Saccharomyces cerevisiae S288C: one gene and its partners. The protein of the gene in region 3 purifies or fractionates together with the protein of the main gene of each other region. This does not show direct contact. Each region holds a gene or a part of one and is shown on either strand. Other genes may lie near its edges.

Region 1 (4,713 bases), on a different chromosome or scaffold from region 3:
AAACTAAAATAAACGACAGGCAGATGACTAAAACAAATCAAACAAGAACCTCTAGGGAAAGGTGTCCTAAGCGCGGAACTTCTTTTCGTTATGGGGTAAATAGAGCGGTACTTAATAATCTGTTTACAAAGCAATTTTACAAAGTTTTGATATAAGAACATTTAACTAAAGAGAAGAAAAAGAAATGAAAAGCCATTCTCTTGGCAGAGGAAACAAATGAAGAGGTGCGTGTAAGTGAAATAAATAGACCAAATAGCATTTGATAAGGAAGAAATAAAAGAAATTTATAACAGGGTAAAGAGTTTTTCGTTCTGAAAGAGATGCAGCAATAGTAAGAATTAAGTCCTAGTCCAATTTGGGAAGGGAAAACGATTAAAGCATAAACCGCTATGTCGAATTTATGCAAACCATATCAATCTACTTTCCTTAAAAATTTTTCGTCCAATTAAAAGAATTCAAGTATAATGTACAAGAAATGGAAAAGATTGAAAAAAGGGAGTCTATTTTTGTAGTTTTGCTAAACTATCTAATAGACTTTGAACATTATTGCCAGCAGGTTGCTGTTGCTGTTGCTGTTGCTGTTGTTGTTGTTGTTGTTGTTGTTGAGGTGGCGGAGGTTGGTGTGACATTGGTGGGGCAGAGGGTTTTGCAGATATATTTTGACCATTGTAATTGGTACTCATAGGAGGGGGAGAGGATGAGTTCATAGAGGAATATCCACCCAACTGTTGTTGCTGTTGTTGAGGAGCCTGGCCTTGCATTGATTGTATTAAACCAACCAATTGCTGCTGAGCATGAGGTTGTTGTTGCTGTTGTTGGGCCATTGAAAGCAAATTCGATACAACGTTAGGTGGAAGGTTTTGAATGGCAGATAATAGTTGTTGCTGGTCCATTGGAGTTTGAGAAGGTGGTTGAGGAGGCGGACCAGCCTGATAACGACCATACCCTTGAGGAATTTGTTGTTGTGGAGGTGGTGGTGGAATAGAAGTCTGGTAGCGACCGTAGCTCTGATTCATTGGAATTGGAGGTTGAGAACCATATCCTTGGTCATGGGATGGTGGTGGCATCCCATAATTACCATATGGCTGTTGCTGTTGTTGTTGTGGAGGAGGCATACTGTAACCCTGGTAATAGTTTGTTTGAGGAGGAGGTCCGACAGCTGGGCCGTTTGGAACAGGAAGAGGAGGAGCGCCATATATGTTTTGCTGATGGCTCATAGCACGGTAATCAGTAGGACGAGAATTATTTCTGTTGTTTTTGATGTTATTAAAAATGGCAACTGCGTCATCAGCGGATATGCTAATATATTCATCAAATTTCGTTTCACCTTGTGAGCCTTTGTAGAAAGTTTGAACATCTACATTGTGTGTTTTATTAACTAAAACAACGCCCCACACCCCATTATATGCGGCATCATTGATAAGCTTTCCCAGTTCCATTCTTGGTTTCAAGAAAATCATATCAGTTTCCAAACCAGTCCCGTCCCTAAACCTGTTGAAAACCTCAATGGCATACGTACGATCTGCGGTTCTTTTAACGAAAATGTTGCAAGAAACGGTGTGTCTTCTGGATTTCTTGTAGCCAGCACCATTGTCGTCATTGTACATGTCACCAGATTCAGTTTGAAATGGTCGTTTTGCGGAAGAAATAAAAGTAGAACTACTGTTTGTACCGTGATCACCATGATCAAATTGAGGACGAGCATTCGAGCTAGAAACTTCCAGGATCAACTTTTTGCCAAAGTTCATTTCTTGAGACTCGCATTCAATTGCATCTCTAACGCTTTGAGGGTTGTCAAACTGAATGAATCCAAAGGCATTTTTGATATTGATTTGCATGATATGACCGTATGGAGAGAAAATCCTAAATAAATCCTCCTTAGAAACGTTCTTTAGCGGCAAATTACCAATGAATAATCTTGACTTCGGAGGAATATTGTGCATCTCGGTGATTTTATTTTCACCGTGCAAATAGGCTGCATAACGGTCGTGTTCTTCTTCGGTAATCGGCTTAGATAAATCCGCCCTAGGAAATCTCATACGTCTTTGGGCATCTGACAATGGAGGTTTTCTTTGATCATTGCTTCTTGCGCCGCTTGTGGCTGAGGCGCTAGCTGTTGTTGAGATAGTACTATCATGAGGAGGTACGGAAAGAGCTGTGTCAGAATTTGAATTTAACATTGCTAAAATCGCAGACATCTTTTCTTCTTGAGGTAAATGTTGAAACTGAGGCAAATTTAGCATGTTACTGTCCATAATGTACTTGACTTGCTTTTGTAAAAGATCGTAATTAACATTTTCCATATTAGTTGGAAAGTGAGTATTATCATTTTCTTCACGAGTTATTTTTTTTATAGCTTCATCTACGTCCTTTTGTTCTTTTTCCAATGTTTCACGGCGAAGTTCGACCTCTTTATCTTTGGTTTTATCCTTTTTGTCTTCCTCATCCTCACCGTCTTCAGCGGCACTATCTGAGCCTACCGAACTGTTGTCGTTGCCTTCTTCTTCTTCTTCTTCTTCTTCTTCTTCATCATCATCGTCGTCATCATCATCATCGTCATCATCCTCTTCTTCCTCTTCTTCCTCTTCATTATCATCATCGTCATCATCATTTCCGCCTTTTTGTTGATGTTCTTCTTCTTCTTCTTCTTCTGTGTTTATTACTTCCCCGTTTTCCTCTCCTTTTTCCTCCTTATCTTCCTCCTCTTCATCGTTCACATCTTCCAGTTCGTGTTGTTCTTCATTTTCCTCCTCCCTTTCGGCTTCTCTTTCTTCCTCTGGGGCGTCAAATTCGATTCCATCGTCTGCGCTTGAGTTATTCATCAATTCATTCTCGTTAGAGTTACTATCGACGGATAGTTCAGGTGAAGGAATATCTTGAACATCACTGTTATGGTTTTCATCTGACATGGCTTGCAGATGGTTATTATATTATGAAAGGACAGTCCGGGAAAAACGTAAGTCAATTATTATATTTTGACCAAAGAAAATCGCTTGTTGCTGTGCAGAATCTAATAAAGATGCTCAAGATAGCTTTTATTAGACCTTCATTTAGAAGTGGCAAAATCAAATGAATTGTTTTTTGTCCTTTGCTTCTTCCGCTTCATTTTCTCTTCAACAATTCAGGGTTACACTCAATCACGTGGGATACCATAATTTATCGTTCTACAAAAAAATGCAAGCACGAACTAGGGCGGTAGTTAGGAAGCGAATAAGAATAGCGCTTTTTCGTTTCAATTTGGAATATTAAAGAGTGATATTATTAATGGTTTTCTTTTTTGGAATGTGATCTATATACATATTTAAATAGTCTCTTTTGTATTTGTGGTGTCATAATGAAACTGCATCACACCAGATGCTTACCCATACAGAAAGTCGATTGATTATGAAACTTGAAGTAGCGAAGATTACGGCACTCGAAAATAAATAAAAAGAGGAAATAAAAGAGATAGAATACAACTTATCAAAAGTTCCAGATAGCCCGTACCTGTTTAAATCTTTTTACTTAAAGCATCCTTCCTCTTTAACTCCTGCTCATGAGCAAGCTGAAGCTTGTGTTGCTGTACAGCTGGTGAATCAGAATCCACTGAATGTGCTGGACATGGCAGCACAGAACCGATGGCCACTGATGCGAATGCAATGAGAAATGTAGAAAAGTATAGGTTATTGACTATTTTGTTTCTAGTGACTGCTCTCATGATATGTGTCTGAATTAAACTAATTGGCCTTCCGTGCCTGTAAATTCAATAAATAAATAGGATGTTAAATTTTCCTAATGTGTCTCGAGGTGCTTATGTTATCGTGCAAGCGCTGAGTTCGAAACGCTGTTTTGATGAATATCCTATATATATCAAAAGTACAAACACGGGGAAAGAGAGCCATCCCATCAAAAAAAATAAAAAAAGAAAACCCTTGCAGAAGGAGAACTGGTGTAGAGGTTTCCGGTCTTAATGGACTTAAGCACGTGACTTTTAAAACCCATGCATCGGTTACTATGGTTACCATTACTTACGATTTTTTTTTTTTCGTTATGAACCCTGTGCCCGAGGGGTTTTCAGGCACATAGATCAAAGTTCTACTCGTTTACCTGTAATCTTGGCGCGTTTAGGTCTCTTTTTTTTTCTTTTTTTTTTCTTCTTTTTTCATTTGTACTGCGTTATAGTTGTTTATGGAAGGTACCAATGGTGAATATGGAAAAAATGAAGTCAAATAGAAGAAGAAAGAGAAGCTAGCTTTGAGGTAGGTACTGTTTTGAGGGTTTTTGGGTGCTTCAAATTTGTCTTCTCAACTACCTTATTATAGGGCTCAAAAATAATTGACGTCATCGCTACAAGTCAGATGTCGATGTTAAGAATCTGGAGTTGCATCGTACATTTCTTTTCCGTGCAGGCACTTGATTCACGAATAAAGCCAGACATTGAATTCAAAAGGCGACAAAGGATATTTATCAATTCATCTAAAGAAGAGAATGGTTCATCTTCTAGTGCCGTTACTGTTACCCGTAACCCTGTGCTCAGCTCTAATAGCCCATCTCCTCCGCTATGGAATACATGGGAATTTAGACTATATTATTTGGCGTTCACCGTAGTAGTTCCTTTCATGATAAAGGCGGCATTGGCTACGAGCTCCGAGTCTAATCCAAACTACTATAAATTCAGCGGACTGCTAGCCCATGGTTGGATTCTGGGCCGCAAAGTGGATAACAGCGATCCTC
Region 2 (5,289 bases), on a different chromosome or scaffold from region 3:
AACGAATACGCGCAGGATGATATGCATTACTTTCCCGAACCGCCTACACATTTGGTTAGAGAAAGTAGCATAAGTACTGTCGCAAGGCATGTTTCATCAGGTGTAGATCTGACTAATTCTGAAGAACATCCTTTGGATACGGATTCTGATTGTAACGCCCTTCGTCTCAAACTTTCCAAAGCGGATAGTTATAGAAGTGTAATTCGTCATTAGAAACTCTGATCAATAGCATAGTGTAACATAGTGTAGCATACCATTCAGGTTGTATTATATACGCAACAACAATAAAATATTAATTTAATTATTGCGATGACAATTAAGTAAAGATGATTGAAGAAAACAATACTAACAAATTTTGAAGCATTTGTATTTACTTAATTTTAAATTTATTATTATAGGTACAGTTTCAATAATATATTTATATAAAGCTGATATTTTATATATAGGAAAATTACGCTAGGTATGTAACATTGATTAAAAATTAAAAAGCGGAGTGATAACGAATGTAGTCCATCCTCCGAATCTTTTTAAACTTCCTTTGTTTCTTGAATCCAATTCGAAATTGTTCTCCTAGTGGATTCGTGTGGAATAGCGTTATCAATGTTGGCAATGAATTTGTCTGCTAACTCACGATATTCGTGGGAATACCTTCTTAATATACTTTTAATAAACCCAATCACTGTAAAATATTTCCATTTCAAATCCAGTTTATCATCTTCAATATCGTCGATGTCCATTTCCCCGTTGACTTTAGGTATCTCAATATCTTCATCAGCATTGACATCTAGTAAGTCTATAGTACTGTTGGCGATGGTACATAATCTTTCGAAAACGAACTCAAAATTATTTCCACTTTCGTTCTCTTCCGAGATTTGTTGAGATAAATTTCTAAAGACCGCTTCAATTGCTGTAGCTTCAATCAAACCATTATTCTTCAAACCAGTTTCGTTAAATATAAATGTAAAAATGGTTCTGGAAGTAAGTAAACCTGCATATTTGAATGCATCTGCTACTAAGAAACCTGTCTGAGGGTTGGCGTTCCAAAATGTTAGGACGGCTTCAATTATGATATACTCTTTTGTCTCGATATCCAATTCAATCTTCGCAAATATGGTTTTGAGATCTTCTTTTAAATCATTAATATATTTATTAGCATGTGATAAAGATCTACTACCAGAGTCTGTAACGGCCTGGACTAACAATATGATAACAAATCTGTTAAAGTCGGAAATTATGGAACCATACTCATTCTTTAACTCACCTAGAATACTTTCTAATTCAGTAACTTCCCTAGAATTGTTTGCTTTGTGGGTATAATCTAAAATTTTACGGACTGTGTTTTCCATAGGTACACCTTCTTGTCTAAAATATAGATCATTTTTTCTAACGGAATCTTCTTCTACCGTATAACCGGTGAATAATGATTGATAGTAGTTAATCAGTTGATCTCTTGGAATGTAAGAAGTATCCAAATATTTCGTGAATTCTTGTGGTAGGCTGTCCTCTACTTCTGAAAAGTTAGAGGTCAATCGTAGTTCTTTTTGAATCAAATTTTTAGCAAAATTTACCTTTGGATTATAAAAATACTTGCCAAATTTGATCGAATCGTCTTCCCATTCATTCCACTTCCAAGAAAAATTAAAGTTGCTCATTTGAATTGAAAACCAGTCCAAATATCTTAATTTTAGTTCAAAATCTAATGAATCCAAATGACTATAAAAAAACCTAAAGGCTCTACCAAAGACAGGAGCAATTGCTTTTGGAGAATTTTGACAAATATCCACCAATAAAGTGTAAAAGTATGCAAAAGGCTGGGAAACACTAGGTAATTTAAAAATAAGTCCCAAAATGGTTTCAATAGCCAAATCTTCTATCTTAAATGTAGGAGCCAATGGGTTCTCTTCATAAGTGGCAATTAATTGGGCAATAGATTCACCAGGTTCTGTAAATATACCTGCTTTGAAAAAAAGATCCAAAGTTATCACTTGTCTAGCTACTTCCTTTCTATTGAATTCTAAACTTTCCACCAGATCAATAATGATATCGTTGAATAATTGACCAGCATAAGTGCTGATTGGTACAACTGTTTCGAAATTACCAGCGGAGTTTGGCAAGTAAACATGAAAAGCATACCTTGGTGTCTTCCACATGCTATCAACTGAACCAAAGTTTTTATTCAAGCGCACGAAAGACTTTAGATCATCTACTGATGGAAGGGTTAAAGCGTCATTGAACCCTTCATCACCGGTTTGGGGAGTTAATAAATGATTCCAATCAGGAAATAATTCATTCAGCTGTTCCAAGTTATTGATTAGCGCCTTCTTGACGTTTGGTAATACGACTCGGACAAGTTCTACCATTTCATATGGAGGTTCACCATTGTATTCTCTTAATAGGTTTATATCCGTTGTTTTAACTAGATAGTTTTGTTCAACGTATGCAAGTAACTCCTCCACTTTTGTCCTCAAACCGTCATTATTCCTATTAAAAAAGAACAAATACGGGATATTTAATAATGTATTGGTGTAAATTGCTTCAGATAAAGGAACTCTGTTACCTGGATCCAGATTGTTTAATTCGATACTCAATTCAAATAAGCTCTTGTAGATATTGATTAGTTCATCAACTAAAAACATGGGCGATAGAATGGATAAAAATCTCAGGATTAACTTGATCTTGTTCCATGGCCCAGTTTCATTTGACGTACTCTTGAATTCATCATTATATGTTTGCTTGCACCATTTTTGTAATTCTTCGAAGAAGTAATTGATAATACTCTTTCCGGCAACATTATTTTTCGAATTAACAACCATGGTTAAGAGAGCGATAGCAGCTTGCTTCTGTGGTTGCTCCACAACAACAGCGTTTAAAGTGCTCAGTAAAGCATTATTAAAGTAGTCCTCATGGCCATACTCATTCATTATAGCTTCACTCAAGAATTTGATATCATCTTCAAAAGCTTTAACAGATTCACCAATAGTGCGAATATCGGGCATCATTTCTTTACACAGTTGTACAACAGGTGGGATTCTCTGTCTTTTAGGCATGCGAGGCCTAAAATCACGGTAATTTTCATCTTCATCGAAGTCTAACGGTAAAATCATATGCAAGGTAGTCAAAGTTGGGTATGTTAGTAATTTGAATGAAACTGAATAATTGAGTTTTTGTAAAACCAAGCTAACCTAATAATCCTAGGAATGTAAAACAAAGTAAAGATGGAGAGTAAAATAAGAGAGGTTACTTGCCGTTATGTATTCTACGTGTACCGTTTCTCCACTTCTCTGTGCCACAAAAGTACACTTTTCTGTCACACCGTACTAACTGACAAAAAATGGAAATACCATCCTAATTGGTCTTGATATACACACTCTAGAACGAAACTTCTGGAAAACATTGGTTTTAAAACATACCTCCTCTTCTTTTTCTATTAAACATCTTAAATATATTTAAAATGCAATTGTAGCCCCAAACGCGTATACCAAAGTCGTTTTGATTAGCAATATACCTTCTGTCCTTCCTTTTTTACCCATTATACACTTTCACCTGTTGCTGAGTGTGAATTATATTTTTTTCAACTTTTTCAAGAACAATCTGAAAAAGCATCTTCTACGTGTAAAGTGATTTTATACTTACGTAGTATGATTTTGGTGCACTAAGCGATATATACAATAAAATACATCATTCATCTACTGTAAACGTCCTTTAAGCATTTCAATTTCTGAATCTCTCTCATCAATAAGTTTATTCAAGTTTTCAATTCTTCCTACTAGTTCCATAGAACTTGGTTTGGTGCCATTTTCTTGGAGTAATAACTGCTCCTCCGCAATGAATCTCTTTAATCTCTCGTCATTTAATTGCTGGATCAATTGCACAATTTTACTGGATTTTTTTCTCAGTTCCTTTTCAAAGTCAGAAAAAGACACACTCGAAGAATCGTCAAAAGATGGTGCTGAATTATTGGTTTCATACAGCCGTATTCTTTCTTCTAATTCAGTTTCCCTTTTTATCGATTCTGCTAATTCTGTAGACACCAGTGTCAACTCATTCATTAATTCTTTGTTTTCTGTTATCAAATTCAATTGCTCACCAGATATTGTTATCATCTTTGGCTGAGAGCTATCTTCTCCACTAGTTGATCCGGCGGAAGTTATGTCTCCTCTCCTAGCATATAACGGTTCATACGGTTTGGCTAAAGTATTATCAAAACTGAAGTCTTCTTCTGAAGCATTCATGCCATCCTTATCGTAGCTAACTGGGGCTGATTTTGTTTTGGAGGGTGAACCATCCATATGCGGTACAAAATTATCAGATTCTGAGGCGGAATCAATATTCAACGGCAGCGTATTGGAGATGAACGATCTACGGGAAGAGCTGGACATATGAGAAACTGCTGATAAATGACCATCGCGATTATTTTTTTTATATAGAAAAGTATCATTGTTGATGTTTTCCTGGTTCATGGATATGTTGACATTACTTAGTCTCCTGCCATTGCCATCGGATTCACGTCGCTTAATGGTAGCATCTGAGACATTTCTTTTGGGATCTCTTTCCGGTATGGATTGTAACAAAGAAGCCCTTTTACTAGTATTGAAATCAAAATCGACCTCGTTCGTTGTATTCATTTCGCCATTATCCGAATTTGAGTTATACTTTCCGGGAGAGGGGAATTCTTGTGCGGTCACGTATTCATTGATATCAGTAGAGTTTTCTAGCTTATACATACCTGTTCTGGTATTGATGATTCTTTGCTTGGAGGGAGAATCACTAAATGTGGATGAGAAAGTCGACAAGGACGCTCTATTGGCGACTGCACTTTCACTTTCCAATTTAAGATCTTTTAAACCAGTCTCTAGCGCACTCGCAGGTCTTAAATTTAAATCGTCTGATTCATGTGAAATTTCCTCCTCTTCATTTGCTTCAGTATTTTTCTCAGCTCTTTCCTTTTCTTTTTCTTCTACTAGTGCTTCTCTCTCACGTAAAGATTTTTCCATTTCAGCTAGCTTCCTTTCTTTTTCCTTTAACTCGTTTTGTTGAGGAGTGGATAATTGCAAAACATTCAGTTTTCCCTTGTTTTCAATAGGTTGATCAATGTTCACTTGTTTTTTTAGTGGTGAAGATCCTTGTTTTGTAGAGTTAGGCATTGCTGTAGCATCAGTAGGAGATGACGGAGAGAATGTAGTCAGGGAGTTGTTTTGTACGTTCGGTATTGAATAAGCTGAATTATTCTTTGAGGAAATTGACGATTGACTGATTGGCTGTTTCATGGACACAGCTTTACGATCGTTG
Region 3 (4,064 bases):
AGCAGCTAAAGACTGTGTACACGAGGAAGAGAAAAATAGAAAAGAAATCTTGGAGAAACTTGAGAAGCATGCTACCGCCTATAGAGCAAAGCTAAAAAGCGGTGAAATAAAAGCAGAGAACCAACCAAAGGATAATCCGTTGACTAGATTATCTTTAAAAAAAAGAGAAAAGAAAGCCGTCCTTTTCAACTTTAAAGGTGTTAAATCTTTAAACGCCGAATCTTTACTAAGTAGAGTGGAGGATTTAAAGTACTTGAAGAACTTGATAAATTCAAACTACAAAGATGATCCATTAAAGTTTAGCCTAGGCAACAACACACCTAAGCCTGTACAGAATTGGTCATCTAATTGGACGAAAGAGGAAGATGAGAAGCTATTGATTGGTGTTTTCAAATATGGATATGGTTCCTGGACACAAATAAGAGACGATCCATTTCTAGGCATTACTGATAAAATATTCTTGAATGAAGTTCACAATCCGGTAGCAAAAAAGTCGGCAAGCTCCTCTGATACAACACCAACACCCTCAAAGAAAGGAAAGGGAATAACGGGTTCTTCAAAAAAAGTACCTGGTGCCATTCACTTGGGCAGAAGAGTTGATTATCTATTATCCTTCTTAAGAGGAGGCCTAAATACAAAGAGTCCCAGTGCTGACATAGGCTCGAAAAAACTCCCTACTGGTCCTTCCAAAAAGAGACAAAGAAAACCTGCTAATCACAGCAAATCCATGACTCCAGAAATTACAAGTTCTGAGCCTGCAAATGGCCCGCCAAGCAAACGTATGAAAGCCCTCCCAAAAGGTCCTGCCGCCTTAATAAATAACACGAGATTGTCTCCAAACAGCCCCACGCCCCCATTAAAGTCCAAGGTTTCCAGAGATAATGGTACAAGGCAATCAAGCAACCCCAGTAGCGGCAGCGCTCACGAAAAAGAATATGACAGCATGGATGAAGAAGACTGTCGACACACAATGAGTGCAATACGTACTTCTTTGAAGCGACTTAGAAGAGGCGGCAAAAGTCTTGATCGTAAGGAATGGGCCAAAATTTTGAAGACCGAATTAACTACGATTGGTAATCATATCGAATCGCAAAAGGGCTCATCGAGAAAGGCAAGCCCAGAAAAATATCGCAAGCACCTTTGGTCTTACAGTGCCAACTTTTGGCCTGCCGACGTTAAGAGTACAAAGCTGATGGCAATGTACGACAAGATAACAGAGTCTCAAAAGAAGTGAAACAATTTTTCTTCACCACATTTTCCATTGTTCCTTCCCCCCATAACTATAAACGTATTTATGTATATATATTTGCGTGTAAGTGTGTGTACTATAGGGCACCGTAAAGTAATAATGCTTAATTAGTTACTACTATGACCATATAAGAGGTCATACTGTATGAAGCCACAAAGCAGATAGATCAATCATGTTTAACGAAAACTGTTAATCGAAGATTATTTCTTTTTTTTTTTCTCTTTCCTTTTTACAAAGAAAATTTTTTTTGCGCTTTTTGCCATCACCATCGCAAGTTCTGGGACAATTGTTCTCTTTCGCTCCAGTTCCAAGGAAAGAGGTTTCTGTTTTACTTAATAGAAAGTGTCATCTTGTATTTTATATCTCTTCTTTCTTGTGTAAAATTCTTTAGTTTTGATTTTGTATTTTTAGGACAGTGAGCTACGAAGTAACATTTTTACTTAATAACCGTTTGAAGCATAGAGCAGGCCCTGGTACCACCACCTAATATCTGGCTTTTTATTCAATAAAAACTCAAAAAAAAAAATCCAAAAAAAACTAAAAAACCAATAAAAATAAAATGGCTGATATTACTGATAAGACAGCTGAACAATTGGAAAACTTGAATATTCAAGATGACCAAAAGCAAGCCGCCACTGGTTCAGAAAGCCAATCTGTTGAAAACTCTTCTGCATCATTATATGTTGGTGACTTAGAACCTTCTGTTTCCGAAGCCCACTTATATGATATCTTCTCTCCAATCGGTTCAGTCTCCTCCATTCGTGTCTGTCGTGATGCCATCACTAAGACCTCTTTGGGCTATGCTTATGTTAACTTTAACGACCATGAAGCCGGCAGAAAAGCAATTGAGCAATTGAACTACACTCCAATCAAGGGTAGATTATGCCGTATTATGTGGTCTCAACGTGACCCATCATTGAGAAAGAAGGGTTCTGGTAACATCTTTATCAAGAACTTGCACCCTGATATTGACAACAAGGCTTTGTATGACACTTTCTCTGTGTTTGGTGACATCTTGTCCAGCAAGATTGCCACCGACGAAAACGGAAAATCCAAGGGTTTTGGGTTTGTTCACTTCGAAGAAGAAGGTGCTGCCAAGGAAGCTATTGATGCTTTGAATGGTATGCTGTTGAACGGTCAAGAAATTTATGTTGCTCCTCACTTGTCCAGAAAGGAACGTGACTCTCAATTGGAAGAGACTAAGGCACATTACACTAACCTTTATGTGAAAAACATCAACTCCGAAACTACTGACGAACAATTCCAAGAATTGTTTGCCAAATTTGGTCCAATTGTTTCTGCCTCTTTGGAAAAGGATGCTGATGGAAAATTGAAGGGTTTCGGGTTTGTTAACTACGAAAAGCATGAAGACGCTGTGAAAGCTGTTGAAGCTTTGAATGACTCTGAACTAAATGGAGAAAAGTTATACGTTGGTCGTGCCCAAAAGAAGAATGAACGTATGCATGTCTTGAAGAAGCAATACGAAGCTTACAGATTGGAAAAAATGGCCAAGTACCAAGGTGTTAATTTGTTTGTTAAGAACTTAGATGACAGCGTTGATGACGAAAAGTTGGAAGAAGAATTTGCTCCATATGGTACTATCACTTCTGCAAAGGTTATGAGAACCGAAAACGGTAAGTCTAAGGGTTTTGGTTTTGTTTGTTTCTCAACTCCAGAGGAAGCTACTAAGGCCATTACAGAAAAGAACCAACAAATTGTTGCTGGTAAGCCATTATACGTTGCCATTGCTCAAAGAAAAGACGTAAGACGTTCTCAATTGGCTCAACAAATCCAAGCCAGAAATCAAATGAGATACCAGCAAGCTACTGCTGCCGCTGCCGCCGCCGCTGCCGGTATGCCAGGTCAATTCATGCCTCCAATGTTCTATGGTGTTATGCCACCAAGAGGTGTTCCATTCAACGGTCCAAACCCACAACAAATGAACCCAATGGGCGGTATGCCAAAGAACGGCATGCCACCTCAATTTAGAAATGGTCCGGTTTACGGCGTCCCCCCACAAGGTGGTTTCCCAAGAAATGCCAACGATAACAACCAATTTTATCAACAAAAGCAAAGACAAGCTTTGGGTGAACAATTATACAAGAAGGTTTCTGCTAAGACTTCAAATGAAGAAGCAGCTGGTAAAATTACTGGTATGATTTTGGATTTGCCACCTCAAGAGGTCTTCCCATTGTTGGAAAGTGATGAATTGTTCGAACAACACTACAAAGAAGCTTCTGCTGCCTATGAGTCTTTCAAAAAGGAGCAAGAACAACAAACTGAGCAAGCTTAATGCTCTATGTAATCACCTACTTCCCTACTCAACAAACTTATCATCTTTTTTTTCTCCCTTCCCTTTTTTTTTTGTCTTAAATACTAGTTATTATCCTTTGTAACCTAAATACTCGCTCTTATTGACAAAATGCAAACGTTTTTTGTTTTTAACTGTCAAGAGAAGTATCATTTTACTATTATTAGACTTCATTACTGAGTTTATTAGTTGCGTTTTTTTGAGGTCTCATTATTAACGGCAGAATGTTAGTTTTCGCGGAAAATAAACAAAATAGCACGGAAAAAAGACCAACAGGTTCCAGGAAAATACTAATTTACAAAAAATTGACAAATCAAGTGAGGGTACCTTGCTATTCATCACCGCATTCAACTAACTGGAGGTACAAAGCTGATAAAATTTCACAGAGCAAAGTCTCACTTAGCTTTTACTTTATGAAATTTGACCTTTAATAACCGAAGGTCATCGTAATACGCAACTCAGACAGTTTTAAGTGGATTTTTAGGGTCGCAATTAAAAACACTC
Region 4 (3,579 bases), on a different chromosome or scaffold from region 3:
ACTACAGTCGCTGCTCAGGCACGAGAATAGGAGGTAAGAAGGTAACGTACGTATATATATAAAATCGTAATGACAAAGATTAAGGTAGCTAACCCCATTGTGGAAATGGACGGCGATGAGCAAACAAGAATAATCTGGCATTTAATCAGGGACAAGTTAGTCTTGCCCTATCTTGACGTTGATTTGAAGTACTACGATCTTTCCGTGGAGTATCGTGACCAGACTAATGATCAAGTAACTGTGGATTCTGCCACCGCGACTTTAAAGTATGGAGTAGCTGTCAAATGCGCGACTATTACACCCGATGAGGCAAGGGTCGAGGAATTTCATTTGAAAAAGATGTGGAAATCTCCAAATGGTACTATTAGAAACATTTTGGGTGGTACAGTGTTCAGAGAACCTATTATTATCCCTAGAATTCCAAGGCTAGTTCCTCAATGGGAGAAGCCCATCATCATTGGGAGACACGCATTCGGCGATCAGTACAAAGCTACCGATGTAATAGTCCCTGAAGAAGGCGAGTTGAGGCTTGTTTATAAATCCAAGAGCGGAACTCATGATGTAGATCTGAAGGTATTTGACTACCCAGAACATGGTGGGGTTGCCATGATGATGTACAACACTACAGATTCGATCGAAGGGTTTGCGAAGGCCTCCTTTGAATTGGCCATTGAAAGGAAGTTACCATTATATTCCACTACTAAGAATACTATTTTGAAGAAGTATGATGGTAAATTCAAAGATGTTTTCGAAGCCATGTATGCTAGAAGTTATAAAGAGAAGTTTGAATCCCTTGGCATCTGGTACGAGCACCGTTTAATTGATGATATGGTGGCCCAAATGTTGAAATCTAAAGGTGGATACATAATTGCCATGAAAAATTACGACGGTGACGTAGAATCAGATATTGTTGCACAAGGATTTGGCTCCTTGGGGTTAATGACATCTGTGTTGATTACCCCGGACGGTAAAACCTTTGAAAGCGAAGCCGCCCACGGTACAGTAACAAGACATTTTAGACAGCATCAGCAAGGAAAGGAGACGTCAACAAATTCCATTGCATCAATTTTCGCGTGGACTAGAGGTATTATTCAAAGGGGTAAACTTGATAATACTCCAGATGTAGTTAAGTTCGGCCAAATATTGGAAAGCGCTACGGTAAATACAGTGCAAGAAGATGGAATCATGACTAAAGATTTGGCGCTCATTCTCGGTAAGTCTGAAAGATCCGCTTATGTCACTACCGAGGAGTTCATTGACGCGGTGGAATCTAGATTGAAAAAAGAGTTCGAGGCAGCTGCATTGTAAACTTACTCAATGACAGATTGATTTATTTATATTATATATTCCCTTTTTATCGAAAAACTTTTAGTATTTTCTACTCGTAACATATGATCTTCTGTTCTCACTGAAAATTTTTCTTTCTTCTTTTCCCTCTTCGCAAAAAGAAAATGCTGAAAAAATTTGAAAAATTTTCAAATGATGAGATGTTTAGCTTAGGAAAAATATAATGTAAAGATAGTTTTCAGAACATTTTTTATTGGTTTTTTTTTTTAAAGATTCATTATCATCTGGAGTTCGTTACAACCTACACAGAGGACCGATATACACAATGTCAAAGGAGGATTTCGTTATTAAGCCTGAAGCTGCAGGTGCTTCCACTGACACTAGTGAATGGCCATTACTTTTGAAGAATTTTGATAAGTTATTAGTCAGAAGTGGTCATTATACCCCTATCCCAGCTGGTAGTTCACCACTAAAGAGAGACCTGAAATCATATATCAGCTCTGGTGTCATTAATCTAGATAAACCTTCCAACCCATCATCGCACGAAGTTGTAGCTTGGATCAAAAGAATCTTACGTTGTGAGAAGACTGGTCACTCTGGTACATTGGATCCAAAAGTTACAGGTTGTTTGATTGTTTGTATTGACAGAGCTACCAGGTTGGTTAAGTCTCAACAAGGTGCTGGTAAGGAGTATGTGTGTATTGTCAGATTGCATGATGCTTTGAAGGATGAAAAGGATTTGGGCCGCTCACTAGAAAACTTGACCGGTGCGCTTTTCCAAAGACCTCCTTTAATCTCTGCTGTTAAGAGACAATTACGTGTTCGTACTATCTATGAGTCAAACTTGATTGAGTTCGATAACAAGAGAAACTTAGGTGTTTTCTGGGCTTCCTGTGAAGCTGGTACTTATATGCGTACTTTGTGTGTTCATTTAGGTATGCTATTAGGTGTTGGTGGTCACATGCAAGAATTGCGTCGTGTTAGATCCGGTGCTCTGTCTGAAAATGACAACATGGTCACTTTACATGATGTTATGGATGCCCAATGGGTTTACGACAATACAAGAGATGAATCTTACTTGAGATCCATTATTCAACCTTTAGAAACTCTATTGGTTGGTTACAAGAGAATTGTAGTGAAGGATTCTGCTGTCAATGCAGTATGTTATGGTGCAAAGTTGATGATCCCTGGTTTATTGCGTTACGAAGAAGGTATTGAGTTATATGACGAAATTGTCTTGATAACTACCAAGGGTGAAGCCATTGCCGTTGCCATCGCACAAATGTCAACCGTTGACTTAGCTTCCTGTGATCATGGTGTTGTTGCTAGTGTGAAGAGATGTATCATGGAAAGAGATTTATACCCAAGAAGATGGGGTTTGGGTCCAGTCGCACAAAAGAAGAAGCAAATGAAGGCAGACGGCAAATTGGATAAATACGGCCGTGTTAACGAAAACACCCCAGAACAATGGAAAAAAGAATATGTTCCATTAGACAATGCTGAACAGTCAACTTCTAGCTCTCAGGAAACTAAGGAAACTGAAGAAGAGCCTAAGAAAGCTAAAGAAGATTCTTTAATCAAAGAAGTCGAAACTGAGAAGGAAGAAGTGAAAGAGGATGACAGCAAAAAGGAAAAGAAAGAGAAGAAGGACAAGAAGGAAAAGAAGGAAAAGAAAGAAAAGAAGGACAAGAAGGAAAAGAAAGAGAAAAAGGAGAAGAAAAGAAAGTCTGAAGACGGTGATTCTGAGGAAAAGAAATCTAAGAAATCTAAGAAATGATTCTCATCACTCCATCTCATCCTATATATTTAACAGCTTTCTTTTTTTCAAAAAACTTTTTCTATTATTAGATTAGATTTTTTTTAGTGTGTATATTAATAACGTAAAATTTCTTTATCAACGACTTGTAGTATTCTTTTACTTTTATTTTTTTTACATATGCAACGTTATATTCTTTTTTAAATATCCCCATATACTAATGATAGAACTTTTAAACTTTTAGGCCATTGACGAATTTCATGACTTCAAAACAGTAGTTCAGCAATTGGCCCATGACATTATTTAGAAACAACCATGATAGCAAATTCTCATTTGATTTTAAGCTAATATCGCCGATTATTGCATTCCTGAATCTTGTGCTGCAATCAATTAATTTCAAGCACGAAAATTTGCTTTGTAGGGAAATAAAGGAACAAAAATCTTTAATCATTTCATTTAAGGACTTGCATTCGATAGACACAGAGGGATCATTGCTAACGCTCATAGAGGAATTTAAGAACTTTGTTACGAAAACT

The links.
Region 1: the proteins of PAB1 (region 3) and NAB3 purify together in Saccharomyces cerevisiae (affinity purification with mass spectrometry; 2 studies listed by BioGRID). This does not show direct contact.
Region 2: the proteins of PAB1 (region 3) and STO1 purify together in Saccharomyces cerevisiae (affinity purification with mass spectrometry; 4 studies listed by BioGRID, with this or other methods). This does not show direct contact.
Region 4: the proteins of PAB1 (region 3) and CBF5 purify together in Saccharomyces cerevisiae (affinity purification with mass spectrometry; 3 studies listed by BioGRID). This does not show direct contact.

The regions. Positions count from the first base shown.
Region 1 is NC_001148.4:184,817-189,529, forward strand, and holds NAB3 (Nab3p), read right to left. Parts: upstream 2,910-4,713; coding exon 501-2,909; downstream 1-500. Other genes in the region: COA2 (Coa2p), read right to left, coding at 3,491-3,697; GUP2 (putative O-acyltransferase), read left to right, coding at 4,338-4,713. UniProt on the Saccharomyces cerevisiae protein: May be required for packaging pre-mRNAs into ribonucleoprotein structures amenable to efficient nuclear RNA processing. Binds to poly(A)+ RNA. Appears to act in the maintenance of CLN3 mRNA levels.
Region 2 is NC_001145.3:515,685-520,973, reverse strand, and holds STO1 (Sto1p), read right to left. Parts: upstream 3,436-5,289; coding exon 3,411-3,435; intron 3,089-3,410; coding exon 528-3,088; downstream 1-527. Other genes in the region: DLT1 (Dlt1p), read left to right, coding at 1-213; EPO1 (Epo1p), read right to left, coding at 3,687-5,289. UniProt on the Saccharomyces cerevisiae protein: Component of the CBC complex, which binds co-transcriptionally to the 5'-cap of pre-mRNAs and is involved in maturation, export and degradation of nuclear mRNAs.
Region 3 is NC_001137.3:508,565-512,628, forward strand, and holds PAB1 (polyadenylate-binding protein), read left to right. Parts: upstream 1-1,808; coding exon 1,809-3,542; downstream 3,543-4,064. Other genes in the region: chromatin-remodeling ATPase CHD1, read left to right, coding at 1-1,234. UniProt on the Saccharomyces cerevisiae protein: Binds the poly(A) tail of mRNA. Appears to be an important mediator of the multiple roles of the poly(A) tail in mRNA biogenesis, stability and translation.
Region 4 is NC_001144.5:504,522-508,100, forward strand, and holds CBF5 (pseudouridine synthase CBF5), read left to right. Parts: upstream 1-1,612; coding exon 1,613-3,064; downstream 3,065-3,579. Other genes in the region: isocitrate dehydrogenase (NADP(+)) IDP2, read left to right, coding at 70-1,308; RFX1 (Rfx1p), read right to left, coding at 3,276-3,579. UniProt on the Saccharomyces cerevisiae protein: Catalytic subunit of H/ACA small nucleolar ribonucleoprotein (H/ACA snoRNP) complex, which catalyzes pseudouridylation of rRNA. This involves the isomerization of uridine such that the ribose is subsequently attached to C5, instead of the normal N1.